Linked DNA regions of Coturnix japonica. The protein of the gene in region 2 interacts with the protein of the main gene of each other region in a pairwise test. Links are inferred from orthologs where the notes say so. Each region holds a gene or a part of one and is shown on either strand. Other genes may lie near its edges. The genes, in order: RAB11A and RAB3IL1.

Evidence for each region.
Region 1: the proteins of RAB3IL1 (region 2) and RAB11A interact in a two-hybrid assay, tested with the Homo sapiens proteins (2 studies listed by BioGRID and IntAct). The two-hybrid records come from large-scale screens. The link is inferred for Coturnix japonica from reciprocal best matches to the Homo sapiens genes RAB3IL1 and RAB11A.

The regions. Positions count from the first base shown.
Region 1 is NC_029525.1:16,445,919-16,461,206, reverse strand, and holds the start of RAB11A (ras-related protein Rab-11A), read right to left. Parts: upstream 10,943-15,288; 5' UTR 10,830-10,942; coding exon 10,790-10,829; intron 5,063-10,789; coding exon 4,867-5,062; intron 3,948-4,866; coding exon 3,754-3,947; intron 3,298-3,753; coding exon 3,217-3,297; intron 1-3,216. UniProt on the Homo sapiens protein: The small GTPases Rab are key regulators of intracellular membrane trafficking, from the formation of transport vesicles to their fusion with membranes.
Region 2 is NC_029520.1:7,927,311-7,943,110, forward strand, and holds the start of RAB3IL1 (guanine nucleotide exchange factor for Rab-3A), read left to right. Parts: upstream 1-3,145; 5' UTR 3,146-3,289; intron 3,290-4,057; exon of another isoform or gene 4,058-4,143; 5' UTR 4,144-4,309; coding exon 4,310-4,323; intron 4,324-6,320; coding exon 6,321-6,555; intron 6,556-6,911; coding exon 6,912-7,007; intron 7,008-8,410; coding exon 8,411-8,488; intron 8,489-8,934; coding exon 8,935-9,150; intron 9,151-10,447; coding exon 10,448-10,567; intron 10,568-11,722; coding exon 11,723-11,851; intron 11,852-11,964; coding exon 11,965-12,074; intron 12,075-14,538; coding exon 14,539-14,638; intron 14,639-14,759; coding exon 14,760-14,826; intron 14,827-15,260; coding exon 15,261-15,343; 3' UTR 15,344-15,800. UniProt on the Homo sapiens protein: Guanine nucleotide exchange factor (GEF) which may activate RAB3A, a GTPase that regulates synaptic vesicle exocytosis. Promotes the exchange of GDP to GTP, converting inactive GDP-bound Rab proteins into their active GTP-bound form.

The DNA.
Region 1 (15,288 bases), on a different chromosome or scaffold from region 2:
AACACGAGCTGTCATACAATTCCTCCACCCCTACCCTATAAGCAATGTCCTCTGCATAACATCCTCATCTCAAAGCACGTAACAAAAGTCTTAAAAATAACAGTGCTAATTTTTTTTGCTGATAGAGGGGATCTCTCCTCTGGCTGTGGTTGGTGCATTTCCATCTGATCCTCACTCTCTGACCTGCTAGAACATCTAGCAGCAGTACTGCTCGAGTCAACCTGCAGCAGCTCCACTTCTGCTCACTGCCACCTCTTGCTCCTCTGCTGTGCAAACGCAGGATGCTGCTCTAGATCAAAGCCTGAATGGTTAAAAACTACTTTGCCCTACATGACAGTTGCACTCCTTCACCACACATAGTTGTGTTGGTGTGATGGAGGAGGTAGGAACAGCTTAAACCTGCTTTTCCTGCAGCAAAATGCCCAGAGGCAAAGCCTACACTGGAACTGATCTGTATTGAGGAATGCCAAGCTAATGAAGATGCGTACTTTTTAATGAAGACACTACACTTCATGCTCTGCTCAGTAACTGAAAGAGACCTTATTAAGAGCGCAGTCAGCAGAATGCTTCTCTGCGTAATTGGTAACCATGTGAGACAGGCCTTGTGCTGTAAGAGCTGGGAAAAAAAACAACAAAAACAACTGCTGTCTGTTTGCCCAGCCCTTGTCTGTTCAACCAGGGCTAGTATTTCATTCATTTTCAGGTGTATAGATCTAACAAAAAGAGGAAATCCCTCTTGTTCTGTTCTTATGAAATGTTCTTAATGTCAGTACTCTGTGATGTTGTTTCCTTGGAGATGGGATTCCTTAGAGATGAAACCACAGAAGAATGTGGTACAGAAACAGAGGCAGCACTGAATGAGACAGGGAGCGGAGGCTGACTCCAGTTTACTTTAAGGATGCTTTATCCTGCTGTGAATGCTCACAGGGGATAAGATTAAAACACCAGTCTCTCATATTTGCCAAATAATACAAAGCAGCTTTGTGTGCACAAGAATTAGCCCTTGAAGTCTAGACATCTTACAACAGAGGAGCTTGGACAGGGACCATTATTCTAAGCCATAGAAGGAAAAGGTCCCCAAAACTCACCTAGTACAAACAACAGGAGAGGAAGTGTACTAGATTTAATGCCTTGCCCCCCCCACTGCCCTTCTCCAGCAAATCTATAACACAGCAAGACAAAAGGAAAGTTTTCTTCTTCTGCTACCATCTGTAACAACAGACCACACACTCACTTAAGACTGTGCTAACTATAATAGATCCATGTTTCCTACACCCAAAGCTATCGACCTAAGGTGGCTTCATCTGAGAATCTAGGTGTAGACCACTGTCCCAACCAGATCACCTTCCGTAGGGCAGGGAAACAAAGGAGTTTTGCTCCAGATCTCAGTCAAGACATCCCTGTCCAGGAAAGATCTAAGCAGCTGAGAGGCACTGACAGCAGCCTAAGATGTCTTTGCAGCACTCTTCCCAGCATGGAAGATATTAACTAAGCTGGTGCAGCAGCACGCCCTGCCCCTTCTGTCAGCCTCCTCCACACGATGCCTGTGGCAAAGCCTGTTGGCTTTATCAACTTTCTTCTTCAAATGACAGCAAGTATTCATCTAGGGTTACATTTGGAGGCAACCCAGCCACATACATACAGACTATCCATGATTCCACAGGGTCACTCTGAAAACCACATTCCTCAGATGACTGCTCACCTCTTTCCTTCAAAGCAAATCATTAACACAAATAGCCAGCTGTGAAGTGTTATCAAGAAGTTTATTGGCAGAACATTCATCCTTTGCATGCCAGTTACAGCAGAGATGGAGGCAAGCCTCTGCTAATGTATTATTTACTTCATCTTTATCTCCCTGAAACAGGAGTTGATGTCTGGAGCAAACCATGTGCCCACTAATCAACAGAAGTGTTTCTTCCAGCACAGCTGAACCAGCCCTTCCTCAAGAAGGATTCTGTCCGCATGCCCAAGAGTTCAAAACACTGTCACAGCAACACAGGGAGCCCTGACGTTTCTCAGAAAGCAACAGCCCCAACACTCTGTCAGAGTCCACTGAGGGCTAATCTTAATCATTTGCTCTCACATTACAGACTGCTATCCTCCAGAAATAAAACCAGGAAAAACAAACAAACAAAAAATACATATATTATATATATATGCATATCAAACCTCCACTAACTAGAATCCAAAATAACTTCTGGAATAAAAAAGTGCTGTTGGAAGCATACCAGGAGAGAGAAAAGAAACAGCCTAGTGCGTGCCCAACAGGTAAACTGCTTCTCCATAACAACAGCAGTATACTGTATCTGAGCATCACACAGACAGGCAGCAGCCCAGAGCACACCAGTCATCACTGCAATGGCACAGAGTGGTCCACGAAGGGGCTGAGGGCAGTTAGATCTCTCTCTCACCACCCCCCCACTGCAAGGGTACTCATAATATATTTCAAACAACCCAAGAAAATGCTCCAGAATGTATATTTATTAATTTTCTAGCTACCTCCCGCACTGCATGTTCCAATATGGCTAAAAAGTCCTTTATGATGCGTTTGTGTAAGAAAGTATCTATTACTTGCCAAGAAGAGAGAGAGAGAGAAAAAAAAAAAAAATCTAACTAGCTGCCAATGTCACAGAAGCGAGAAGTTACGCCTATCAGACAAAGGGGTTAAACAAAAAGGAAGTACCTCATCCACTGAGCATGAAAACAGCACCAGTCAGTGCTATCACGTGCTACAAAGGCCAGAAGTCCAGCCAGGTTTATTATATGCACTGACAGCAACCACCCTGCACTCAGGAGTCACTGCGTCCCAGACTACAGTACTGCTCACTTCTTGGCAGCTGTTATGCTCACTAATAGTGATGGAAACAAGGTAGATTGCGTTCTCCTCTGACAATAGCCATTTTGTGTGGAGGTGGGCATCAGACAATTCTCTCACACAGCCACTCCCTGTTCCACAAATGGGAAAGTGAAGCACATAAACCAGGCGGACTGGAAACCCAGGGCAGAGCAAAGTGAGTAAGACCAGACTCATTCCCAAGCCCTGTGCTGGTCTATCAACTATGACACTTCAAAAGCAGCGTCTGAATATTACAGCTGTGAGGAATGATTGAATTGCTAAATTTTACACACTTTATAGGCAAATAAATGCCTATTTGCTGCGTATCAGAGCAGCGTTCTGCCCTTCCTCCTCCAAACACAAAGTATTAGATGACTCACCTGTCAGAATAGTCTGGAAAGCTGCTTCCACATTTGTAGAGTCTAAAGCAGATGTCTCGATAAATGACAAACCATTCTTCTCTGTGTGGACAGAAATACTATAATTAGAGATGTATAACATTTATCTCCCATCCAAAAGAACTTTTGTACCAGACAACGTACGAGGTGTTGCTGATGAGATAGATGCATTAGTGCTAAAAAAAAAAGCATTAAAAGTTGTAGGGTTTTCCTCTTTATGATCTGAAACCATGCACAAAACACAAACCTAAACCCACCAGCAGAGCTTCTACAAGAAAAGCAATGCATAGGCACGGAACTAAGTCTGTTTTAAAACTGTTTTCAAGTGCCTCTGGCAGATTCTTGAGAGTCTATCAGCATACAGGCTCTATAGGACTTCAATTTTAACTGAATGAAAAAAGACATGCAGCAGTACGTGGCACTGAGTCTTTTCCCTCCTACCTGTACACTCACGTATTTCACATCAGGTAGGCAGAGTCTGGACAGTTTGAATTAGGAAATTCTTTTGAGTTCACCAACCTGCAAAAGCTCTGGCCTCATCTGTAGGGACTGCTCTCAGGTGGCGCAAGTCACTCTTGTTTCCCACAAGCATGATTACAATATTGCTGTCTGCGTGGTCTCTCAGCTCTTTCAACCATCTCTCGACATTCTCGTAAGTAAGGTGCTTAGCAATGTCATACACCAGTAATGCCCCTACAGCACCTCGATAGTACCTGTGGGTGAAGAGATGTGTTACAGAACCAGCAAGAAACATGATGGAAAGTGACAAGCTACTGAGTAATAACTGTTTCCCACTACTGCAAAGACAGTTATATTAAAAATAATAATAACACACAGCATGATACATGGGACTTGAAGCAGCTGAAATACAGCATCCAGACCAGGGTTAATCCGTGTGACCACAACAGCAGCCAGGGCAGCTCAGGGGCTGGTGGGTTACCCTGCACCTCAAAAATGAAGCACTGTATCTGTGGGGGATCTACTGTCACCTTCAGCCTCTGACCCACACCTGAAAGGCTCCCCACCCACCATTGTGGGTGCAGCACAGGCACAGCCCGGAGCAGCAGGAAGACTTTATAATGACTCACTGGATCATAAAAAAAAAAAAACCATCAACTTGATGTGTTCTCTTTATGAAATGCCCCATTTGGTTTCCTCTCAGACCAGGGAGAGGCACAGTTACACATTCAAAAAGAAAGAGGTTGTGCTTTCCCACCCCACAATTACCTCCAGCTTTATTCAAATCGAGCTTTAGCTGTGCTGTTTTTTTCATTAAACACACAAAGTGAGCAGTGCCTCCCTACTGATACAGGAGGTGTTCTGGTCATAGGTTACCACTGATAAAACCTCCATCATCACAGCTATTATTTCATCAGTGACTTGCATTTAAATAAGTCTCTCAGCTCAGAAACGCCTCCAGTTACATATCATGAGAGCAGTGAGAAGTAAATCTGTTCATACTATGTCAAGCTTCAGGACAGAATAACATTCAAGCTTCCTTTCCCCATATTATATGTAGATATTATAAGAGAAAATAAAACCATCCTATTCTGCAGTTTGAGGAATCAGAAGGGCCCCAAGTTCACCCTCCTCAGCAAAAGCTTCTCTCCGGCCATACAGGCTGCCACTTACGCTGATGTTATAGCTCGGTATCGCTCCTGCCCTGCTGTGTCCCATATCTGAGCCTTTATTGTCTTCCCATCGACTTGAATGCTTCTTGTTGCAAATTCTACTCCAATGGTGCTTTTGCTCTCCAGGTTGAACTCATTGCGTGTGAAGCGTGACAGGAGGTTACTCTTGCCTACTCCAGAGTCTCCAATAAGGACAACTAGAAGAAAGAAATGACATTGGAATCACATCCCAGATGTAGAATATCTGCTGACAACCACCTGCAATGAATACATTTGTTTTCCAGAATAAAACCCAAAGGACAAGAATAGCAGAACCACCTCCCTCCTTGTCAGGGGTCTGTTGTCCAAGCCTTGAGATTTCCAGATAACCAGTGCTGTCACACCAGCATTTCAGACAGACTTCAGACATGGTTTTCAGCAGTTACCATTTCAGTCTCCTTTGTTTTGTACTGAATCACATTCCTCCTCCAGGAAAAACACACATGGCAAAGTACAAAAGTCAGAGACAGTTTAGATTTCACATCCTCGTGACAACGCTAGGATTAAAACAAGAAAAACCACAGAGGTGTTTTGCTGAAGCATAATTCCAGCACACGGGGCAGGCTGCCTTCACTCTACACCCCTCACATCCTTGCAGGAGAGCCATGGGTGACAAGAAAACAGCACAACTCTACTTGTTTTGGGAAAAAAAAATAAGTGTTTGTACAGTAATAAACATCATTTCAGCTTTAAGATGTTGCAGCACAGTGTTAACTACGCTGTGTGGTACAACAGAGGAATGAGTCCACTGAGCTCAGGAGCGAGACAGGCCAGCAGCATAAAACCTCCCACTGTTTGCTGCATCACACAGCAGAGTTCTGGCCACCGTTCCCTATTTACATAATGCACAACTGTGACAAACGGGGCTTTCCCTCACTGTAAGAGCCGAGAAGCATCTACTAAATTCTTTCCACAGAATGAGAATTGCAGCGAACACCAGCTTCACGCAGCCTTACAGAGAATGCTTCACCGACACACTGCAGCCCCTCCAGCAGCTGACTCAGCGAGCAGCCTGCCAAGCGTCTGAGGCTGCAGAAAGCAAAGAACAGCTTTAACACTTCTCTTAGGAGGACCCACAGTGAGAGTGGCATGCACGTACACTGAATGCAAACAGGATCTGTTTGCCCACATGACAGTTCAGCAGGGTTTGGTGTCAGCTGCCCTGACACAACAGAGCAGCTTCCCTGGCACACAGGATGCCCAAGGGTGATAAAGACAGTGCAGAGGTCAGGGTACCTAATTACATCATCACCACAAGGCAAACTGACACACGTTTCCTCTTCCATTGGCAAATAAGATCTTCAATACTCTTTCAGCAGGTTTAGGCTGCAGTTTTAGATGACATCATGCTTATATTCATTGGGATAAATGTATTCATTGGGCTGAAAACTTGTCTAGATGAGGAAAGCTGTCCACACGCATCACTTTGTGTTCCCCAGAGGCCGTATCCCATCCGTTACCTACCGCCCTCACAAGTATTTCTGCTGTTCACTGCACATTTCCAAGGACAGTTCGGGCAGTTCCTCCACCAGGTTTCTTCCTCACCTCATCTAAGTGCCACACCACTTATGTCTGAGTGCTCTCCAGTGCCAGATTAACGTGTCTCAATTAAAAGAGGAAATATTTTACTTTCCTCCTTGAAGCCGGCTATTTCCTCTACTTAATTGGGCCACAGGAACAGCTTGCAGTGTCAGCGGGTACCTAAGGCTCCTCACACCTTCTGCATTTCCACCAGTTCTTTGGATGCAATGATGAACTGAAGCAGCATTAACCATCGCTCCGATTATTTCATTAATTGTCGTTTTGCTTTCCTTATCAAACCACCTCAGTTTGATATTTCACACTACACAGCGTTCCCATATATTGCATTCTCAGCAGAGGAATACAGCAGGAATGACTCTGAATGCCTGAGCCCAACTCTTAACTATCACAGGCAAACAGTTCGAGAGGGAAATGATGGTATCTAACTCCACATCAAAGCTAATTGTTCCTGCACACAAGCTTTTACTGGGCTTCTCTTCCAGAAACTCACTCTAATGGTTAGAAATTGCCTTCTAATTTTCAGAAGAAATTAGCGGTCAGCTGGTAGCAGTGTTTGTGTGCCAGCACTGCCCATTAGCTTATTAGTTTCTTCTCCCAGCGGTGTTTATGCTGTTTCATGTATTTACAGAAAGCAGCCGCATCTTCTCAGCTTCATTCTACCACCTAAATAAGCTGAATTCTCAAATACATCCTTCATAATAACCTTCTTCATCATAACCTTCTTGGCACCAGTATTGGCACAGCCTGAGAATAACCCAAGAGGAGCAGGAGGGATCCCCTAACCCAGCTGACTACAGGCAGCTCCCTGTTGCTGCTTCAGTGATGTGGCAGCTCACTGTGTGCGACCACGAGCTATTTGAAATGATGCATTTACTGCCCACAGCACTTTGCACTGCAACAAAGCATGTGGTGGACAAAAAGAATAAGGCAGTCCATGCGACTGTATGAATTTCATTCTGCAATCCCAGTTTTATTTCTGTAGAAGACCAAAATAAGAATTCAATTTCCTTGCTTGAAGAGCCATTTAGAGATGTATTAATCTTTCACCAACATCCCAACTCTCACTCACATTTTATTTCTGTTAAACCTCTAATTGAAATATTTTCTAAGAATTTCTACTAGCTCATAAAATACACTACTGACATCCTAATCAGATTGAAAATAAGTCTAGCAATGTTAGCTGCTTCTGGCTGCAGGAAGGTTATTACACCATTTAATACATGTCAGGGGTTACAGTGTCTGAGAACACTCCTGTCTGCACTGAGCTCTGCTACTAAGAGGCAGATAAACAAAGAGCCTGAACACATTATGACACCCACAAGACCCTACTGAACACTTCTTCCAGCCTACTTCAATTGGGATTTAAAGGGAATGAGAATTAGATGACCTGATTCCATATCTCCTAGCCAGCTGGTGACAAACCTAATGTGATCGTGTCTTACATCAGTCTCCCCATCACCTATATCATCCATTTTCTGTCTCAAAGCGTCATATGCTCCAAAGGCACCTTAGGGTAAGGCTTATTTGTTACCCACACATACTACACACCACCCAAAACATGAGTGCAGCATAACAGCAAAGCAAGAAGGTCTGTTCAGCCCAAAAGAGCCTCCACATCTAAGAGCAGGGATTGCTACCACTGTAAGAATCACTACCTGCCATTCAACTGCATTTCCCTACAGACTTCTGTAACAAAAACACGAGAAAAAAATGCATTGTCTGAAGTCAAAACAGCAGCTCTGTTCAGATTCAGTTTCCTTCAGCAAAGGAAAAAGCTGGAGTAATAAACATGACGCAAACAAGGAAGCAGATAGCTGAAACAGGAGTTTTTCCACCAATCAGCTGAATGCCGCTACAAGCCAGGTCTGCATTCGGAAACAAGAAAGCTGACCTCAAATCCAAAGTTCCAGATGGTCAGGGTACAAACCTAATCCTCCTGAGCTTTGTCTGTGAAAAACACCAAAGACATATTCCAGAAGTGAGGGCTGGTTTGGCTCCTACTCATTAACCATAAATACATTAATCAAAGAGTTAAAAGTTGCTGCACTTCAGTAAGGATATTACTCAATAATTTAAGCCTCATGTCAACACTTATATTCTCTTCCTGTTAAAATTGGAGCAAGAATTCTATGGAGTGGGCTTCACAGACCCTGGGTTTCCTGCAGCATGCTGCTGGGGGATACCAGCTCTGTTCTCTCAATGAAACCAGCTGGTTTAGCATGGAAGGACACACATGCACACATAGCTGGACATGAAGAAGTTACCAGAAAATGACTTGTTTTAAGCCTGGCCTGTTAGGTTTGAGCATATACTAAAGTGCTGTTGCAGTGGAGCCAGGAAGGGGCAGCACAACAGCTACTGCAATTAAACTGCAGCAGCACAAGTGGGCTCCTATCAACACCACCAGCAGCCAGATTTTGCCATGGAGCTGCTGTTAACAGGACAAGAAGAGAGACCTCACACAAACACACTAACAGCAGTTTAATTCAAGAGCAATAAGAGACAGCCAGGCTAGAAAATATGTCTGGATTCTTTTACAGCACATCAAAACCTGAAGTTAGTCCCACCAACAACATCCCTCCGAGTCCATGAACCCCAATGAACTGCCTGCCTGGATTGAGCATCCTGATAGACCAGTCTGACAGCAACAAACAGAACAAACAGGCCAACCTCTGCATAGCAAGCCCTCCCATCTTCAAGCAGCAGTGCCCCCAGACACAGCGCTGTAAGCAGCACACCCAGGTGCCCAACACATCTCTTCCTCTGTGAGTTTCTACAGTCTTCCAAATCCATGCATGCTTTTTGTCTACAGCAACGAACTACTCCGAAGTCCACATACAGACTTTATATTCTTTCCTTATTGCTTTTAGTTTTGATAAAGCGTCACTTCAATATGGGTCAACCTACTGATTATTTTGATGTCCTCCTGCATCTTCTTAGTTGCAATATTGCCTTCAAAACTGGTACACCTGCACTGCCCACATGTTCCTGCAGTCCCCAGGGGATTCCTGTTTTGGGCTCACACACCGGAGGAATGATCCCTACCATCTCATTTCCTCTTCCAAGGACTTCGACTGTTTGCCTTTTGGGGCAGTGCCTGGTAACAAGACAGCGATTTCAGACAACCACTCACTAATTCCAAGATCATTCCAGAGCAGTGACTACTTGGCAACACCAGCTCCTCTGGGTCCTCAGAACTGTTTCCACAATTTTTGGTTACACTGCATTTCTGGATATGTTGTTTCAGCTGCCACATTAATCCCAGCTATGCAGCACTGCATGGAGTTCCTGCTTTAACTCTGGAGGACCTGAATCACTCATCGCCACAAGACCGTTTTCCTATCACTCCCTGCACTGCAGCAGTTTCCATGTGTTACTCCAACATGAAAAGCTTTAGGAATGGCAATCAATTCACTTAGCTTTGATTTCCTCCCTCTCCTCCCCCTTATGAAAATGAACCCCAACCGTATTATTTTGCGGTTTAATCAAGAAGCTCTGCATGGCCGATACTCCCACCGCTGTCAAAGCATTAATTCTAAGTTTATTTACACAGTTCTGTCAGTACAGGTAACAAAACGCCTCCGATAACCTGCACACCTCGGGCTCCAAAACAAACTGCTGACGTGATGACGCTGGCGGTCAGCAGGGCCTGTGCTGCCAGCTGGGAAAACAGGCTCTTCTTAATGCTGCCTGGCTTCACCTTAAACAGTGCAAGTGACTGACTTACAGGTCAAGGTTTTCTACTTGGAAACTGGACAATACAGACAATGAGACTGTAATTCCTTGAAGTTATTACTGGAGCTTAAGGATACAGAACAGAATATTGTTCTCCTTTAAGTACCCAAGATTCACCACTCAAGCTTGTTGTCTCTCATTATTATAATGCAGACATTCCAAATCCGACATCCCACTTCCCAACGTAATAACAGCAATAAGCAGCTATTTCCACAGCTCCTCAAAGACCCAATTTCTGAACCTCACTACAAAAGCAGCATCGAAACGGCAGCACAACAGCACAACAGCCGAGCAGCGCTCCCAGAAGGAGCCCGGGCGCTGCCTGCAGCTCCAGCGCTGCGTCTCGGCAGCTCGTGGCTGTGAACGAGGCTCTAAAGACAGCGAGAGACAACGCTGCGTTAAATGAGCTGCATCATTCCCCGATGTGACACAGCTCAGCCCGCAGCTCCTGCTCCGCCACCACCCGCCGGGACACGGTGACGCCCGCCGCCCTCAGCCCACCCAGGGCCGTCAGCTCTCGCCGCGCTCCCCACCCGCTGTGATAAGGCCCTCAGGGCCGGAGCCGCTTGGTGACCCCCCCCGGGTGGGCACGGAGATGCGGGCGTTACCTTTGAAGAGATAATCGTACTCGTCGTCGCGGTTGCCCATGGTGCGAGGTGTGGCGGAGGCCGAGGACGGGGCCGGGGCCGGGGACGGGAGCGGGTGCTGAACCCCTCCCTGCAGCCGCCTCAGCGCTTCCGCACTGCCCGCCCACGGCCAGCTCCTTCCGGGGCAGCGCCGCGGAGCTGCTTCCGTCCTCCCGCCCCGCCCGGCCTTAAAGGGACGGTGCTGCCGGTGGGGCACGCTACGAGTTCGGCCCGGTACAGCCGAGTTCTGCCGGGCACCGCTGGGTCCGCCGAGCAGTCACAGCCCCGGGACGAGCCGCGGTGGGAGCGCGACGTGCTGCGGAGTAAGGACTAGAGGCGGCCGGGTGAGGTGGTTGTCACCGCGGTTCCATGGTGTAAAGGTGAGCACTCTGGACTCTGAATCCAGCGATCTGAGTTCAAATCTCAGTGAGACCTCTACTTTTTCACTTTAAGTGTATTTTTTTTTTCCCCTATATGTTCTAACTATGGCCCATAGTACTCCTGTCTCCCTTTCCCATTGAGGGTCCTTCACACACACAGGGTAACACCTCCTGTATCCTTTTGGCTGTATTTTATCCCGTGTGAGGTATGGGCATCCTTCTCACCACAGTGTAAAACAGGGCATTGGTTCCACAGTTCTCAGCACTGCTCAGTTTGGGGTGGGTTAAGGAGAAGCCCACCAGGTCCTACAGGTCTTCCCACAGCCCAGGACATGAGCAGTGTTCAAGCCTATAATTGTGTGAGATTCTGTAATGGTGGCACTGCTCTTGAAGGAGATAGCAGCGAGATATTTGAGTTCATGAGGCACAAAATGGTATCTGGGACCATCAGGTACAAAGCTGAAATAGTGACCAGATGCTGAGGGGAAGGGAAAAGATCGGAACTTTGTCTGTAGAAGGGTCAAAATAGAGTGTAAGGGAAACTGTTGATCACAGCCTGAACCTCTGATTAACCATCTGAGGCAAGTGATGAGCCAGCTGTGGGAGCACAGGTGAAGGTAATTTAGCCTTGACTAAGGTGAAGGTAATTTAGACCTTGACTCCACCTCTCCTAGAGTCCATTTAAGGGCTGACCACCATTGTGGTGGCATCTTTGTCTGGAGATTGTTCATCTGTGGAGTTCTTGTGGTGAGTCTCTACATTGGTGAGCACCTGCCTTGACTGAAGGCCTCAGAACTGGTGAGTCCTTATCCTTGGATACCCTCTAGCTGTCTATTTCCAACTATATTTGTATTATTGCAACTGTACCTTATACTTGCATTATTTCAACTGTGTAGTAAAGTACAGAGAAAGCAAAGCTACCCTCAGAATGAGGGCTATGGAAGCAAAAGCAGCTAAAAATATGCATGCATACATATTTGCATTTACCTGAGGGAAATGAGACCTGCCAAAAGGGAACTTGAAGCTGTGAAGTGGGTGAGCACAGCCCCAGGAGGGTTTGTGCCCTCAGGGTTTGTGCCAGGACAGCAACAGGGCTCCAAAGGCCTCACTCACTGAGGCCCTGCTGCCACCCTCAGGCACTAAGGCCAGTTCCTTTCTCCTGCATTAGGGCTGGAGACCTAATTTGAAAAGCATAAAAGTAGCCCTGGTGTCCAGATGCTCAAACCAAGGCCCCTAAGCCTCGCTCTGCTCTCAGTATATTGGCCATCTCAGCACTCAGCAGCAATGTGATGATTTCTGTGTGAGGAGAGAAACCCCCAGGCACCCACAGCATCAGTGACTGTCTGCTGGGAGGAAAATGAGCCATAACCTGATCCTTTCCGCTTACAAATGCTTCCTGCTGCCTCAGAGCTTGCAAGAGAAGAAAACAAAATGCTAATAATGAAGGGATGTGGGGCAGAACCAAATTCCCCCCAGCACAATTGATGAGGTGAGCTGGAGCATCAGGGGCTGGGCTCAGCCTGAACCTCTGGACTGACCCTTTTTGTCTGCAGATGAGCTCAAAACACATGAGATGTGGAGTCTGTAACTGCTCCTCTCTCTTCAGCCTCTTTCAGAAGCTGATCTACTGCGCTGAGTAGTGCATTACAATTAATAATGAATACTCTACATGTGGGGGCTGGGGTGTATTTATAGCTGCATTGTTAAGGCTTCCATCTCGCATCCTATTTGCAGTCCTCCTTTGAACATTGCCATTTAAAAAAAAAATGTTAATTTTGACACGATGTTCTTCAGGCCTAGTTTCACACCCCAGAAATGCTACTGGTTTCAAAAAAATTAAAAATAACACGGATTAAGTATTTTTAGTTATTCCCCCTGTAAGAGCTGTTCTCGTTTCTGTGTTTTGGGTTTTGTTTATCAGCTAGCAGCCTGGGAACAACCTTTACTTATGTTTTTCATACGTTACTTCCTCTTGTACCAAACTGCAGATGCTCTTCTGCTGGATCCAGCTCACTGTGTGTAAGACAGTGGGGCACAAGGTGAGGACAACACCTCTTGTGGCTGAGCCAAAAGTCACTGTCCATACACTGCTGCACTGTTATCACTTGTTGGGCTTCAAGGAGACATTAAGAAGCAAAGACATTTTTTTCCAATCACATAACATAAAAATTCCCACAGACTGCTATGTATGTGAGCAGCAGCAGGGGTTATTTCCAGCTAAGCCAGTTTAAATGCATTTGATCATTTTGATTAAACGCATTTTCCATGGTGCTGAGAGGCAAAACTGAAACAGCAGAAAGAGCTAAGGATCTAAAGAGGAGTCAGCTGGCAGCAGTGGATGAGGATTTAAGTCTTATATTCAGTTCAGCCCTGGGTTAATTTTGTTCCTGTTTAGGTAAGCTGAGGATGAGACTGTACAAACCCTCAGGAAATGTCACTGTCAGTGAGGACCGTCTTGGCTGCTCCAATCCTTCCTTGTGCCCACTCTCAGAGCTGCTGCTGCAGTTATGGGATGGCCTGGGATCCCTCCCACACTACTGGAACATGGCTGAAAGGCAGAGGTCAGGCCTGAAATAACAGAGGAGTGTGTGCTCCGGGACTGACAGCTTTTAATGTGAGAAAAGTCATTCAGCACTGACATTTCTGCTGCATTAATTGCCATTAGTGTCATCCTTGCGGGAACACTAAATTCACTGCAAACCTTGAATTAATGCTCTCTCATAATTCTTCAGTTTGTGCTTGGTTGCAACCATTTGCAGAGGTAGCACATCCCAAGTGACTGGAGCAGAGACAAGGAATAATACTCAGCTGGCCCTTGGATGTTCAATTTAGCGAGGAAAAGAAGCAGAGGTCATACTTATAACTGTGTATTTATGGTTCTGTTCTGGAAATCATGGAGCAGCTGCCAAACAGTCTCCAGCTCTTGCCTCAGCAGTACTGATGTGCATTGGACTCTCAGCTCAGAGTTGCTCAGCTCCAGGTACTGTGCATCTGATTCTTTCCTCACACCCTTCCTTCATCCTCCTTCTTGCCTGTCACTGGCTCCTCAGACCCCAAGAGAAATCCTGGATGAAAAAAATCAAGAGAAGTTTTACCACAGCATTCACTGCTTGTAGCGTTCCAACCAAGTTGAGGTCTTTCTGCAGCTGGATTTGACATTAAAGGAGAAGGGAAAAAAGGATGGACATAATGTGGTTGCAGCTCCTCTGCCTCATTCTTTCCCATGTGCAGTTTGCAAGTCCATCGCTTTGTAAAGTGCAGTGAAAGATCTGGAGGTGGAAGTAGCATTAACTCAAGCTTGTCCTTGAATGGCTGTTGACCCAAATTCCCATTTTCCAAATGGAAGGAGCCATCAGTTTCCCTGGGCAGAATGCAGGAAGGACAAAAGCGGACCCACACAGTCTACTTTGTTCTATCAGCAGAGAAATATTTCCTGAGGGGAAAATCCAGTCAATACTTTGCCATTTCTAACAAGCCACAAATCATTGCAATTATGCAAAGATGATTCAAGCTTTCCAATCCAGCTGCTAAATTAGAGGAGAGCAAACTCTTAGCACTCGCTACCCTTAGCTTGACATGACAGTCAGGAGGAAAAAGATTTAAGTATAAAAGAGATCAACAGAAATAATAACATAAAACAAACCCTCTTTCTAAAACCTTCAACTAAATTAAAGGGCTTACAATGTGCAAGGAGATCTATTTCTCAGGTGATTCCATGACAGATGAAGTAGAAATAAAAATGCACGGAGTCAATTTTTCTGATGATTATTCACTTGAATTCTAGCATATACTCTGTTCTTTTTCTTCTACAGCTCAAATAAGAAGAAATGGGCAAAAATTCTTCCTCTGTATCACCCAGGAGATGGAATAACAAAGGATCTTGTGCTAAACATGGACGTATTCATAGTCAAACCTTGTCCTGGTTTCAGAGATCTGCATGGCACTGAGGAAAAAAAATGGGAATGGAGCAGTTCCAGAACAATTAAATGCCTTTTGAGGGCATTTTTTGCTAGGCCAATACTGCAGCAAGCAGAAGGGAAGGAATATCTCCTGCAGCCTTTGGGAAGAGGGATCAAATGCAACAGACTTGGTGTTTCTTAT
Region 2 (15,800 bases):
GTATACATCTGAGTTCCGTATCTAGAGCACTGATAAAAACATTGAAGAGAAATGGCCCCAACATGAAGCCCTGGGGAACCCCACTAGATACTGACCACTGATCTGGTGTAACTCTGTTTTCTGTAACCCTTTGATCCTGACCCATCAACCAATCATTCACTCACCATATCCATATTATTTTTGTGTCTAGTTGTATGGTGGGCATTTCATCTAGAAGCATAACACAGTATTGAAAGCTTTGCTTTTCAGCTAGGACCTCTACAGATTCCCAAGACCATAGAAAAATAATTGCAGCTCCTTGGCCCTGGAGTGAGAGGTGACATTTTTGGGGCTGAAAGGAGGGCAGGGCAGATGAGAAGAGACAGCACGATGCTTCTGCTGTGTGAGATATAGAAGAACAGGCATGGGGAGGGCCATGGGGAGAAATTCACATTCACGGTATGGAGCAAGATAGAGCTCTTATCAGTGGCCAGATGCTGGTAAGTAAGGGGTTGCTTCACTGGCCCAACCATAGCAAAGCCAACTGACTGACTGATGCAGCACACAGCTTTGTACCAGCCCTATCTGTGAGTATCACGAGCAGTGTTCACCAGGACATAAAAGCCCAGCTGTCCTGCCCTTCTGAAGCCTTATCCCTGCCAGCAATGAGGCAGAGTGACCGTGGTGTGGCTGTTACCCCAGTGTGAGCAGCACCTATCTGTGACAGGAGGTGAGGTGCCTTGGTTTTGCAGATGCTCTGGGCCAGTGTCATTCCTGAAAGTCACACTGCACTGCCTGTATTAACTGCTTTGTTGTGGGGCTGAGCTTGCTGCAAGGTCCCTGAAACACTGCTGCTGGGTTCCAGCTGCTCCCAAAGGATTTTTATAGCAAGAATCATAGTGCTGTCATCCCAGCAGGGTCCCTGAATGACTCAGGATGATGAAAATGTCTCTAAACACCCAAAGAGTTCCATGTATGGGGGAAGACATGAGAGAGCACAGGATTGGGCTCTCTCTGGAGGCAGGGTTGTCCACATGAAGGGTCAGGGTCTGGGGAGGACACATGTCTTTGAGATACCACTTTGCATACACATCTAGAGAGAAGGGATTACTAGGCAGGCAGACAGAGATAGTTCTAGAGGGCCCCAGTGCCTGAGTCCATGTCCTTTTACATGGCAAGAACAAAAATGGTTCTCTTGATAGATTTTCTGGAACTGTGGGGATTTTCTGTGATCGTGGGGACTCTAAGGAGGAACAGCAAAATCTTGAGCATCCAGCTCTTGATGGAGGGATATGTCCCTATCTGGGGGACTCTGCTGCCCTCCTCTGAAAGCAGCTCATCCAGCAGTTCATATGGCTCAGAGTTACTGTTAGGACAGCACCAAACATCCGTGGCATCTAATAGGAAAGTAAATAACTGAGGGACTACCAGTGTGGCAGCAATACTTGGATCACTTTCTGCATTCCCCGAGGCCTCAGTTCTTCCAGGCCTGAAGCAAACTGCCAGTCTGAAAGCAGCAGAGGAGGAGCAAGGATGCACTGACGTCCATCCTCAGTCTCGCTGCCTTCCCACTGTCCTTGCAGGCCCTGGAATCCTTCCCATTTTCTCCATTTTGCAGATGTGCAGATTGGGTTACTGTGACGGGAAATGAATCCCTCCCCCTGTGCTGACTGAAATTCATTTGCTGCAGCTGCCTCCGGGAAGGGGACAGAGCCCTCCCTGCAGTCTGACAGAGAACAAGTGCTTTTCTCAGGACACCACGGGTGTCAAAGCCCAGTGAAACCCCTCTCCCATCTCTGCTTTCAGTGCCAAGATAGATGCTGATGGGTTTTATTTTTTCAAACTAACACTCTTCCTCGGAGTGTGATGTAGAAAAAAAACACCAAAATATGAGAGTATCTGAGGAATTGCTGTTTTTATAGACAAGACTGACTCTGATGTTTGAGCTTGCCGTGAGCCTTTGGAGAGGATGCAGTGACCATCAGTGCTTTTGTGAAGAACCTCAGGCCTCTCACCTTTACAATGCAGGATTTGTGGCAAAAATCCATCTCATTCGGGACCCATGGAACTCAGGACAGGCTGAGGGTGCTCAGTGTGTGCTAATTGCTGTCTTTGAGGACCATGTACTGTTTGGACAGTCCTTTCTTTCCAGGTTTCCCAGCTGCTCTTCTTTTTCCTGTCTCAATGTCTCTTCCTCTGGGCTCAGGCTGAGCTCTTCCAAAAAACACTGCTGTCAGCAGGGAGCAGCAGCCGAGATCTGGCAGGGGTCAGCAGTGCTTCCAGTGCCACAGCAGGACTGTGCCAGGCTGCATCTGCCTGAGCAACACAGCTCTGCTACCCCCAGACACAAGCCTTGTTGCTCTTCTTTCTCTGCTTTTTCATTCTCCTTTTCCTCCCTGTTGCCCTGGGAAATGGGCAGCAGTTTGTTTGGTGCTTAAGGCAGATCTCGTCTGTGAAACTGGAGATCTTAGCCCCAGAGATCCCAGAGGAGCCTTGCTGGAGCCCTCCTCACCAGTTGAGCAAACATGCTGCATGGCTGGAGGGAGGGGAGCGAGTGGGCGGATGGATCCTGGAGTGTTACACTCTTGCAATAACATCCGCTCTGAGTTTGCTGGGTCAGGGCCCTACTCCTGCTTTTCAGCATCTACAGCCTTCCAGCCCTCCATCAGACAACCCGGCTGGAAACATTCTCTTGCTGCCTTTTGGACTCTGGAAGCAATTCTGCCTTTCTAACCCGAGGACCCTCCATGCTGGGAGTTAATCATTACAACTGATTAGTTCTGGTGCTGCCTGCAGAGCTGCGGATCTCCCCTTCCTCACAAAAGCTCCCAGCAGGTAACAAAGGTTACAGCCACGGATGTGGCCACCTCAGACACTTTGCTCTGGCACCTCAGATGATTACGGACCAGATGGGACTGGGCTGTAATATAAGGGAATGGCCTCCAGCTGTGCCAGGGGAGGTCCAGGTTGGATATTAGGAAGCATTGATTGACGGGAAGAGCGGCGATGCGGTGGCACGGGCTGCGCAGGGAGTGGTGCGGTCACGGTCCCTGGGGGTATTAAAGGACAGGGCAGCATCAGATACTCATCCCACAGCCCCCCTATGGGGCGGTACCCCCCCCAAATCACGGCGTGCTGACGGCAGCGCGCACGCGCATCCGCGGGGCCGCGCTTTAATCACGTGGCGCCTCGCTCTGCCCCCTCCCGTCGGGGCGGCCCCGCGGAGCCGGGCGTGCTGCGGGAATGGCGGTGGCGGGCGCTGCTTCTCCGTCCCCTCCGCCGCCGTGATGCGCCGGGGGCACGAAGCGGGGTAGGTGTGCGGGCGGCGGCTCCGGCCGTGGGTCGCTGCGGGGCCGCCCGGGTAGAGACGCGCCGCGTCCGTGCGTGCTGCGGGGCGCCACGCAGCGCTGTCAGCCGCCGCTCCCGGTGCGGGACGGGCAGCAGCCCGCAGGGAACGGCCGTGCACGGAGCCGCAGGAAACTGCGGGGTCGGAGCGGCAGGAAGCTGCAAAACTGCCGAGCCTGCACTTTTTTTGTTTGGCTTTTTCTGCGGAATCCAACTTGGGCAGTTTGTGCTGTGCTCGGCTTTTTTTGCTTGCCTTCCTTTTTAATTGCTTTTTTTTTTCGGTTCTCCTTTGCCCTTTTCTCGCGCCTGGAGGACGGGTAGGACCCGGCCCGGTTCCCGAGCAGCGCAGCCCATCGGGGCAGAGCGCAGGTGCACCGCTCCGTCGGGTGCCGTCGGCTCGCTCCGTGCCTTCCTGCCGTCCCTCCCGATGCAGCAGCGCAGCGCTCTCCTGTACTGATAACTTTCCTCCGAGAGCTCGAGTCACGAGGAAACGGCTCTTATCTCTTTTTTCCCTTCCTATTCCATGCGAATAGCTGGACTCTTAGTAGCTAAGCGGGCTGTTGTGGTGTCCCTTTCTCTCGTCTCTTTCTTTCGCATCTGTTTGGTCCTGATTTCGGTTTTCCCTTTCTGCTCTGTTTCTTGTCCCCTTCTGGCCGTCCTAGGGAGCTTCCTGGCTAATGCGGGAGTCCCCGAGCCGTGCGCTCGCTGCAGTTTGCCTGTCTGATCTCTGCAGGGAGGGATTCCGCGGGGCCATCCGAGATTTGGTTTAACTATTGAACGAACGCCTCTGTTTGGAACGCTCTCCCTGCTTCGTGGCAGATCCATCGCAGAGAACCTCCCCTGGCTTCGTGCGGCGAGGATGAATTGGTTTCATCGAGTCTCCACCTTCCCGTGATGGGCTTCGTTCCTTTCCATTGGGTCGTTCCTTTGCTCGATACCTCCCCTTCCTGAGTGGGGCCCTTGGAGACCTCCTCGTTCCATAGCAATGGCCCTCGTTAGGTAAGTGCTGCCTTAGCTCATCTTGACCTTTCACTGATTCCCTGAATGTGTCCAGAGAACAGCTTGACTACAGCCAGTGCTGTGCTGTCTGAACACCATGCAGTGTGCACCATAAGTGCTCTCTCTTGCACTTACAAGAGTAAGTGCTGGCGTGGTCTGGGAGTTTCCACTGGTTACAAGTTGCTCACTCAGATCTATGCATCCGTGTGTGTATATGGCATTTTTATCGGCAGCTCCAGCGTGCTGAGTAGCTTCAGATTAATTATCTTTGCATGGCAGTGCTGTCTGTCGTTTTCCCTCCCCAGCGTGCTCCTTTATGTTATTTATTATACTTCCTAATAGCATTTATCACCAGAACAAGCTCCTTCTAGACCTAGTAAGACCAGGTCAAGTCAACCGTTCCTTCTGAATCCTTTCCTCCCTTCCAGCACTGCTTAAGCTCTCTTACTTATTCTATAAAGAGACTGGCAAAATCTATGACACTGACTGCATGCTGCCCCTTCCCAGTTCTGTCCAGTTTGCATGGCATGGCATCGTGGATGGTCCTGTACCCTTTCTCATCCCATGGCTCAAAGAGGTTTCTCTTAGTGCGCATTCACACCACTCCCTGTGGTACCTGAACTTCTTTGCAGGAGAAGACAGCTGGCAGACCACACTTTCTGCCACGTGGACAGGCATTCAGGCATGTGTTTTCCTCTTGTAACACACCAGCAGCTGCAAAACCTACCCAGCCTCTTCCTGCCCTGTGGGGTTGAAGTCTGGATCTGAAGTGAAGGGGGTCACGGTCTTTGTATTGCTATGGAATGTCAAAGCTGTACTGTTTTTTTTCTTTGCTCCTCCTGTGGTTTGGGGAGCAGCGTCCCTGAACTTAGGCCGATGGAGTGTTTGCTGGAATACTAAATAAGCCAGCTGTGGTCTGTTTTTCTCTGAAAATGCTCAAGAACGGCACTCCTGGAATAGCTGTGTTTAGTCTTGCTTTGTCCTGAGTTAAATGTCTGAGATGTTCTGTTTGGGAAGGGTAAAACGAGGTGTTATAACTTTGCCTACTTATGTTTTGTGTGTAGAGAGTTGTCTGTGAGGCAGTACTTTGCTGTTGAGAAACAAGCCCTTCTTGCCAGGAGTGCAGGCATCTCACACTGTACTTGGTGCGATTATTGAAGATCCCAGGATAGCAGAGATTTCCTCCCAACTCATTGCTTTGGGTCACTGTCTCCTCTCTGTTGCTGTTCTGAAAGGAATTCATGTCAAAAGCGCGAAGTAATCCAGTAGGGAAGCAATATCTGTGTGTATATCTGGGATCTTTTAAGAAGGAAGAGAAGAGAAATGGCCAGGCTGTGAATTTTGTATGTCTGTTCTGCCTTCAGTGTTTGCTTAGGGTCTGTCTGAGCTATGAGGGACTTCAGGGCTGAAACTCACAGATGAGTGTTCCCCATCTTCATTTGTTCTGATTTGTTTGATGCTCACGCCTGCAGCAAATGAATCTGACAAATATTTTTCCTGGCCTTGGCTTGTATTTAAGAGAGGGCAGTACGAGGAATCTGGTGAGCGGCTTGTTTAACCATGCTTGTAACAGTATTTGTGCATGAGCAGCTTATTCCAGTTACATTTCTCAGCTCTCTCAATCTCTGTTTGAAGAACTGGCTGCAAGAAGATGGTTTGTTTGACAAGGATTTATCCTTAGAAATTCTGCTGAGGGCAGGCAAGCCCAGCCAGCAGGCAAAGGAGCTGGTGCAGCTCTGGGACACAAAAGAGGTCCTCTAAGCCAGTTTCTTTGTATGCCTTCAACCTGCCTGCTTCACTCCTGTGCTCTTGGGAGCCTGAAGGTGCAGCACAGCTCACTACTGAATGTCCTGTTCAGTACGGTACCCCTCAGCCTCCCTGAAATGTTGGGTGAACCCAGGCTGGTTTGTCTTGCTGTTGCCTCTGAGGCTGTTTCTGAGCCTGGCAGGTTTGCTGATCACCCCCACACACAGTTTCACTGTGCCGGTTCCCTACAGCCAGACCCATTTTGAGGAAGACAGCCAGGAGCAACCAGCTGTGGGATACTGGAAACCACTAAAGCCATCCAAAGGCAGCAAGGAGGAGCCAGAGACTGGATGCCAGGATGCAGGCTGTGGGGATGACAGCCAGTCCACTGAGCAGCGCAACGTCTCGCGTCTCCGCAGCTCTTCGGTGGAGATCCGGGAAAAGGGCTCTGAGTTCCTGAAGGAAGAGCTGCACAAAGCACAAAAGGTAAAGCCTAGAGCCTGTGAGAAGAGCTGAGTGTGGAGGCACTGAAGGACATGGTCTAGAGCAGTCACAGGCATGGGTTGGTTGTTGGGCTAGTTGATCTTAGCAGTCTTTCCAACCTTAATGATTCTGTAATGTGGAGCCTAGTCATAAACGAGCAATTCCAACCTGAAAAGCCTGCTGCAGCTTGTGGAGGGATGCTTCTGGTGGCACAGAGTGCTGTGACAGGAGTCTCAGGTCCAGGATCAGTGCAGGGGTATGGAGGGGAAGGGGTGTGATTTGTAGGTGAGCCCAGGCGGGCATCAGCACTGCTGGGGCCTGCTAGCAGCTCATGCATCCCTCTCCTATTTCCTCAACAGGAGCTGAAGCTGAAGGACAAAGAATGCGAGAGGCTGTCAAAAGTCAGAGAACAACTGGAGCAGGAACTAGAAGAGTTAACAGCTAGCTTGTTTGAGGTACCACCCTCTTCCTTTTCCCATCATTTCTTAAGCTAAGCTTGCTTCCAATTCCTTTGAGGTAGGCTTTCTCTGAACTTCCAGCCATACTCCTGTTAAACTCCCACAGCTTCCTCAGTCTTTGTTCATTTGCATTTGGAAAGCTGCACAGTGCTGCGGGCAGACCCTCCCAGGGGCTGGTACTTGCTTCTGGGGAGGATTTGCATACGTTCCTTTCCCCCCCTCGCAGCTGTGGGGTGACATAAAGAGCACAGCAGGTTCCATGGTTACAAACCTAAATGAAACCAGACATGGGGATGCCCAGAGCTAGAGGTGAGCGTGGCTCCCTGGCCTTCTCTTGCGCCTGCTCTGTAGTCTGAACAGCATCTGCTGTGGCTTGCTTTTTTTGTTTGTTATTGTTAATTTTTTGTTGTTGTTATTGTTAATTTGATTATTGTATGATGCGATCCCATGATCCCATTTACCAACAGCTTTAATCTGTAGATCTGACTGGACAGTGAGGGAAGCCAGAACCCAGCTGTACCTGTGAAACACAAGCTGGTGCTGAGTGTAAGGTGAACTCAGAAGTTCAGCTGAGGGCTTCCTCCTTCACCTGGTGGCCTTGGGCAGAGTGCTTCCAGGCAGTGCTGTGGGGTGGTTTCATTGGGACTGGTACCACCCACCTCACCCTTCCTGTGGGATGTTGCTTCTAAATTTAGTCCCTACCTGAGCTACCACTCCTGCTGCTGTGCTGCAGCTGTGCTCAGAGCAGTGAGGACTGGCTGCTCCATGTAGGAGTTAGGAACAAAATGCAGTAACGAATCAGGTAAGTGCAGCAGGGCAGTGACTGAATGAGGAGCTGGGATGTGGATCAGTGAGTCTGGATGAGGATCTGTGCCAGTGACAGTGATCAGGGTCAGAAACAGTCTACTGATGAACCAGCAAGTCTGCAGTGGTGACACACGTCTCAAGTCATGCCAGGAAGCTAAGCCAGTGTGTTTGGATCAGTCATAAAAGTATTGGACTACACAATTATGATCTAGCATGGGTGGATGCCAATGTTAAAACCTTGGCTTTAAAGCATATCCCAAGGGCAGGAGGGGCAGGCCATTTCTTCTGGCTTTTTTTGCACCTTCTGTGATTGGAGAAGATAACCTTGGGCTCAGCAGATGAACTGTTATGTTTATCCAGCTGCGCTGTTGGGAAGGGGATGCACTCCATGCCCTGACGCTGAGAGCCCTTTTCTGGGAAATTATGGGGGGCCAAACTCTTCACATCTGTCAGAGTAAAATAATCAGATGTGGCAGTGATGTCTGTGCACCTGCCTGCTTGCACAGAGCATGAACAGGGCAGAGCTTTGGCTGGCCCTAGTGACTGTATGAGATGGGGCTGCCACAGACAGACTAAAACTCTTTCTGGTCTAGGAGGCACACAAGATGGTGAGAGAAGCAAACACAAAACAGGCGGCGTCAGAGAAGCAGCTGAAGGAGGCATGGGGAAAGGTGAGAACTGCTCACTCTGTGGCTTGATTTCTTTGCAGGGTTGGTGTTGATCATCCCTTCCTCTTAGAGAAAAGGGTGTGAGGGGAACCACATAGAAGCAATCTACTGTCTAATTGCTGTAGCCATGTGGTCAGAGCTTGATGAGGGTGCATTACAGGGCTGCTGGATTGGTTCCATCTTGGAAATTGAAATTACTTCTGGGTTATTGTGTCTAAAAAGAGACTGGAGCAATATATACTCAGACAGAGGAGCAGTGGGATAGGTTCCCAGTTAGTTCTTGTTTTCCTCTTTAAAAGTTTGGCTGACAGTGGGCATCTGGGAGGATGGGGAGCAGGCTTCATGAGTGTGCTTGCAGTTGGTTCCCTGCGGCCTTACAGTGTTGGGTGCAGTGCTGAAAGTTCAGCAGATGCTGAAGGTGCTGTTGACTCTTGCCTCGTCTCTCTCAGATCGACATGCTGCAGGCAGAAGTAACAGCTCTGAAGACACTTGTGATCACATCTACACCTTCCTCCCCAAACTGGGAGCTCCACCCTCAGCTCCAGAGCCCTTCTAAAGCCGTCTTCAGGAAAGGCCATGGGCGAAACAAGAGCACCAGCAGTGCAATTGTCACAGCTGTCAGCCAAAGTGCAACTCCAGCACCAGTCAGTCGTGAGTGCAAAGAGGTGGGTGAGGGCTGTTCACTGCACCAGCCTCGGAGCCACTGCTGTTTCTGTGTCTGGGAAGTTTTGCTTGGATCTGACTGAGAGAAGCCATCCATGCAGTAGGCTGGTTTGCTCCCTAAACCGTGCTGATGAGGCAAACTCTGGAGGGTTTCTATTTGTGGAGATTTCCACTTCTGGGAATTAAGTTCAAAGCTGCATTAGGACAACTGCTAGAGGAAGGAGCTGAGGCACCACTGGAGGGTATGGGCAGACCAAAGAGTTAGCAGTGCTGAGAATGGATGTGGTGGGAGTTGCTGAGCAGCAGCCAGTTGTTCTGATGCATCTTGGCAGTTGAGTCTGCTGCCTGTTCTGGCGTGATTTGCTTTTGTTCTTTTTTCCAACTGGTTTGACTTTCAATGATCCAGGGCCTGGTTTTGGGCTCCAAGACTCCTCCACCAACTTCTGTCAACATCTCCATTGATATCTCTTGTTCTCTGTTCTTGGGTATGCCACTGCTTCCTTCTCTTGCAGAGCATATGTTTAATGTTTGCCTTTCTCACTGTGTGAGGATGTGTATGCAGAAGGGCAGCTGGTGAAATTAATATTTCCACCTAACAGGAGGACTGTGCTGTGAAAGGCTGTTTGCAATTTCAATGGATTTACTTTGCTAATTTCTGTGTAGTGCTGTTGTTACTAGTTTGGATGGAACACTTCAGGCAGTATCGGCTGTAGCTGTTCTGGGGCCTCTAGCAAGATGATCCTTAACTCTGTTTGCAGGCAGAGAGGAACAAAGGCTATGTCCAAAAGAAGACTGAAGGAAAAATTAGTTCAATAACTGTGAAGCCCTGCTGTACTTGTTTCTCTTGATCACAGAACAAACCAGATATGCTGGAAGTTGTAGTCAAATACTTAGTTGGCTAGAAGCTAATTTGAGAGCTAGGGAGAAAGTGGCTTTAATCTTCTAATGCCCTTTGTGCTCTCCTGATGGTTACCATTCCTCTCAAGTTATTTAATGGCCCGTATGAGAGGTGGCATGAGGGAACCTGGCATTCAGCTTGGTGCTTTATGGAAAATTTGTCCCATCCTAAATTGTGCCTAGAAGTTGCAGCATTTCTGTTCTGTTTTAGCACATCAATCTGAAGTTGGAAGGTGTAGTTTATGGCCTTGTGATGCCATAGCATCAGTCGTAGTTCCCTGGAAAAGAAGCCTTGAGTCTCTGCCTGTACCTTCTGTATTGTTATGGTTTTTTTACTTCCCTTTCTTGCCTGTCACTCTAAACGTGTTCCTTCACTGTCTGTCTCTTTCTCTCGCCTCAAAGTCTGGGGTGCCTGCTCTCCTCTCTCTGCTCCTTTGTGTCATCCCTGGGAAGGCCATCCAATTCACCTATGAGCCAGGCTGGCAGGCACTGGGGGCAGATGTTTCCTCACCCTTGCGGCAGGTAACTGTACTGGACAGGATTGGAGAGGGGTGGGACCCATCCAACTCTCACACTTTCAGCCTTTCAGTTCTAGCTTCCTTTTATGCTAACCTCCATTTTTGTTTTGTTTTCCTGAATTTGTTTTTCCATGTTGTGGCTCTGAAGCTGTCTGCTGGTACGAGGTGAGCGGTCCCCATAGCATACAACAAGTGTGCTAAGTCTCAGACCTCTTTCTGTTTTGTTCCTTCATGATTTTTGTATTGTTTGGCATGTTTTTGTAGTTCTGTTTCTCCTTTCAGCATCTTTAACAGGATTTGCTGGCCTTTTAAACAGCTGCCCTGTTGGGTTGGTGGTTGGGCTAATACCTGAGGTTTAAACGTCAGTTCCAGAGAGTCTCCAACACTGACGTATTTCCAGTCAGGCAATGTAGGAGGGATCAACCTAATCAAGGCTCTGTCCTTGAGTACCTTGCTGCTGAGGAGTGATAATTCTTGCAAGCCCACTTGTAAAAGGCAGTGAGCAATCGCAGCAATCAGGAAAGTTATTCCCACTCAGGTTTGATGTTCCACTTGTTCCTGCATGCCAGTGAGATTGCCCAGTATTCCCATTACTTCCTCAACTCCCCAGATACCAGAATTCTCAGTTGAAGTGGCCTTTAAAGGGCTGGCGTGCTCTGTTATTTGGTCTCTCTGGATGTAGTCCTGCTGATATTAATAGCTGCTTTTTTTTTTTTCTTTTCCGTTTTTCATCCTTTTCTATAGCAGTCCTTTCTTAAGAAAAGCATTCTGTGTCTGGGTGTCGTTACACTGTGCTTTGCCATTCAGATCCTCTCGCTGTTTCTGCCATGGGCACTTGCTCTGTTCAGCAGTTGTGTGGTGGCTTTTCTTCAATTGTGGTGCTGCCTTGTCCTGGACAAAGGTGGGAGAGATGCAGGTTTCTGGCAGAATGTGCCCACCTTGGCTGGATGGGTCTGGCACACATCTGCAGATGGGTGAGAGACAAAAGGTCCTTGGAGAGAGCCAGCTTCCCTCAGGCACTTCTGTCATACTTGAACCTTTCTAGATGCCAAAGTAGATGTTGTATAGTTAAGTTGCCTGTGCATTAGTTATCTTAGACATGGTATCTCTTACTCTACCTACCTTCTGTCTTCCTTCTTCTCCTGAATATTTACTGCAGATCGACTCCATTTTATTTGCCGAGTTCCAGTCCTGGAAGGAATCTCCAACTTTGGATAAATCCTGCTCCTTCCTGGACAGAATTTACCGAGAAGATGTAGGACCTTGTCTGGACTTTACTAAGCAGGAGGTGAGTGCTGGTAACTGAGGACAGAAACTGCATGTTCTGGTGGCATCAAAGGTGCATCTTTAGGGAGGTGACCTTTGCACATCCATATCTGCAGTTATTTCTCTTTGCTGCAGCTGTCTGAGCTGGTGCGAGTGGCTGTGGAGCAGAATACACTTACCATTGAGCCTGTTGCTTCCCAGATGCTACCTGTGGTGGTGTCAGCAGAGGACTCTGGTGGGCCAAAGTAAGGAACCTTTCTTGTTCTTGTCCCCTCTTTGCTATTGGTTTTCTCTCACTGCCTCATGGAGTTGGCTGAGTCGGGTACCATGGCTCAGCTGAGTGTATTTCTAGCCCAAGATTAGTGGTAGTTGAGTTCCGCTTTCTGAACTCTTCACCAGCTGATGTAATTCTTCTTGGATATACTGCAGTTGAGTGGCTGGGAGATAATGTAATAATGTGCTAGTGCCCTCAGCTTGGAGGAGTTTTACTTGTTTTCTTTTCCTACTCAAGAGATGAACTTCGTTAATATTCTCTGAAAGCTTTTGCATAACGTAGGGTATAAGGGCTGAGTTAGAGCTGCGTTATCTCACATTCTTGTATCTTTGACCCCCAAGCTCACCTTGTGCTGCTGACATTGCTGGTGCTCCAGGTGGATTTGAGCTTGGCTGAACTTTTCCTCGCTGCATATATGTAATCTTTCCCTCTTGATACTGTGTCTGTGTTTGATGTGACAGATGACTTAGGTTGTTTCAAGGAAGAGGAATGCTGGCAGGAGCAACATCATCTTTCAGAGTAAGACAGGGGACTTTCAGTTATTGAATTTGGTTTCATTTGAGGCTCTGTCCCTTAGTTCTTCCCCCTTCCCTTCAAGCACAGCACCTTCCAGGCAGTGGTGTTCCTGTAATGAATGTTGCTCATGTGCAGGCTTCCTACTCCTCTCTTCTACATTTTTTTTCTCATCTCTAGACAAATTGTTCCCCCAGCATGTGTCAGAGCTCTGCCAGGACCAGCCCATCCTGTGTTTATCCTTGCTGGTTTCCTTTCAGGCTTTTTTCCCTCTTCACAATGTGTTCCAATCATAAATTGTAAAGTATTACTAGGTGATCAAGGATGGCTGATCTGTTAACAGTAGTTTAGTGTGATTAAGTGGCTTTGAGGCTAGAGCTGAACTAACCAAACTCTTTAACTCTATTTAATTTCTACCTTGACCAGGTGTTAAGGAATCTTGCTATTGATTATAAATGGGTTTGATTTGTTCCCTGGATAAAAATGCAAGGTTTTGCGGCACCTTTGGTTGTGCTGTGTTGTAGAAAGAAGAAAGCTTGGTCCCTTTCACCCTATGGTACAGACTTCATTGCAGTGCTTTTAGGAGTGCAGGCAGCAGCTGAGCTTGATAGCAGTGGAAAGCAAGCACCAAGGTGTTCTCAGAAGCTTTTTGGAACGTCTGCTCCTTTGTATGTTGTCATCCTCCACAGTTCCCAGAGTAACTTTTGCAGCTGAGGAATGGTGTCCCTCTTCCAGCCATGCAGCCATTAGATCTCCGAGGAGCCATGGTAATGACATTGCAGCCACAAATTCTGCTTTACTGCTGAAGGGGAGGTTACTGGCTGGTACAGGGAACTGTTTGTCTTCAGAATAATGGAAGGAAATGGCAAGAAAATAGAGGCGTGCTGCACCCTTGCTGGTCACATCTTTTTGTGATCTTTGTGGGAGCCATGCTGTCTTGAAAAGGGTACTTTTGTCATCCTTTGTCTGAAATCTCTACAGTAGTAAGGCTGAACTTCTCCATGCTAGCACAGGAAGGGACTGGTTTGTTCTTAGGGACCTGAAACCATATCCAAAATCCCCTGAAGTCAGCACAAAGTTACTCCACTTGGCTTTCAAGTCTGAAATAAGGAAGAGGAGCCTAGCATAAAGGCTGCATTGCAGCTAGTTTTCAGTTCTCGGAACGAGTTAGTGGAGTTTGTGCTAGTTGGTGGTGAGAAAGTGTGATACAAAATCTTTAGGCACTTTAGAATACCTGACAGCTTCCTCTTGTAGCTCATTCAGTCATTTCATTTTAAATGTAACACCAGATGAGTGGCTTCCCTTGGATGTGTTTTCCTGTGGTGTGGCAGACTTGTACGTTTCCCAGTAGTGTGGTGTGTGAAATCCATGCAGGGATACCTTGAGGAACACCTTGCGTCCTGTGTTGGAGGGTATTGAGGAAACGTGACAAGTCTGGATGAAGTTCAGTGTCTGGCCAGCAGGGGGATGATTATGCTCAAGCATTGGAATATCTGTTTTGAAACTGCTTTTTGTCCCCAGCTGGTAGCTATATATCCCACCAGGAGAGCTGAAACACCTGGACAGAACTCCTTCAGCAAAATCCTTGCATGGCAGAGATGCATGGAGCCCAGAGGACATGAGTTATATTCTGCTTTGTCCTCACCTCTTTCTGTGGTTCTGCCAAGGGTAACACCTTGGTTTGCTTGAGCACGGGTACCAGATTTTTAGCTTAAGTCTCCTAAACTCACTGTTTGTGGAATCTTTCTAGGTTGAAAGGCTAATTATCAGCTGCAGTTGGTTTGTTTTTCTTTTCCTTAATGCTCACTGATACGGGTCTGACTTCTGAGCTCCACCTTCCATCTCCTGGGGATGTACTCTGCTGTTCTGTGAGGTTGCTTTATAGCCTGGTCTGTTTTTTTTTCCTCTCTCTCTGCCTGCAGGAAGTGTGCTCTAAGTGGCCTCCCCAGGACCTGCAAACATCGCATCATGCTGGGGGATTCTGGGAATTACTATTACATCTCACCGTCCTGCAGGGCCAGGGTGAGTATTCCACCTTCCCAGAGTGTATCTGGTGATATGTAGTACCATTTCTCAGGTGCTGAACACCAGGATCACTCCTGTTCTGTAGCTGATGTCTTTTTTTCTTTTCTTTATTCCTCAGATCACAGCGGTGTGCAACTTCTTCACATACATTCGCTATATCCAGCAGGGCTTGGTGAGGCAAGATGGTAAGAGGGGACAGCAGCTGGGTGCAGTGGGACCTTTGATGGGCCAGTGGGAAAAATTCTGAGGTCATAAGGCTGACTCCTGTCAGCATGACAAGAGTGTGGCCAGCTTGGGATGCCCTGAACTCACTGGATCTTTGAGAAATGGTTAAATGGCAAAGAAGAGATGCAAGCAGGTGGGATGGTTGCACCCATTCCTTGCTCAGCAGTTTCTTGGACACTGTATCCTGAGGCAGAGCGAGTAAAGGGGTGACCTGCTAGGCCAGTCCTGCTGGACCCTCCAGCATATCTGCTTCCCTCAATTTAGTGGGGAGCCTTGTCAGGCTGCACAGTAAGCATAGCGTAGCATGAGGTGGGGTCTAACTATACCTTGCTTACTAATTTTTTTTTTTCCCTGCTTTTTCATTTTTCTTCCCTATTCCCTTTTTACTTTGCAGTGGAACTGATGTACTGGGAAGTGATGAGACTCCGGAGGGAAATGTCTCTGGCCAAACTTGGGTTTTATCCCAATGAGATGTAAGCAGCGGCCTGAGCTTGGAAGAAAACTGCTCCTGTCTGAAGGATTCACCAGCTGTGGTCTGCCAAACAGATGAATGCAGTGTCTCTCCAGCAGTGGCCTTGCTCCCTCCTCTCCCTCCCTATGCCTGATGCTGATCATGGAGCAAAAAGCACAAGTTCTACCTTTGGCTGTCCCATTCCTCCCGGTGTGACTGGAATGCAGCTGCCAAGCTACCTTCTGAGAGCTGGGCTGGTCCTGGCTGCTTGGGACTGACTGTCTACAGACTGTTCCTTATGGAGATATGCAGTGTATATCCATTATTTTTAAACTTTTGTTTTTATATACAGTCTGCTTTGGTGTAGTCTGAGGCCAGCCCTGTGCAAAGTAGGAGTCCTGGGCTCCCTTCTTAGTAAGCAAGTCTTTCAGGACAGATGCTGGCGGTCTGTCTGTCTGTTCCACTCATTCTTTGGGGTGGAGG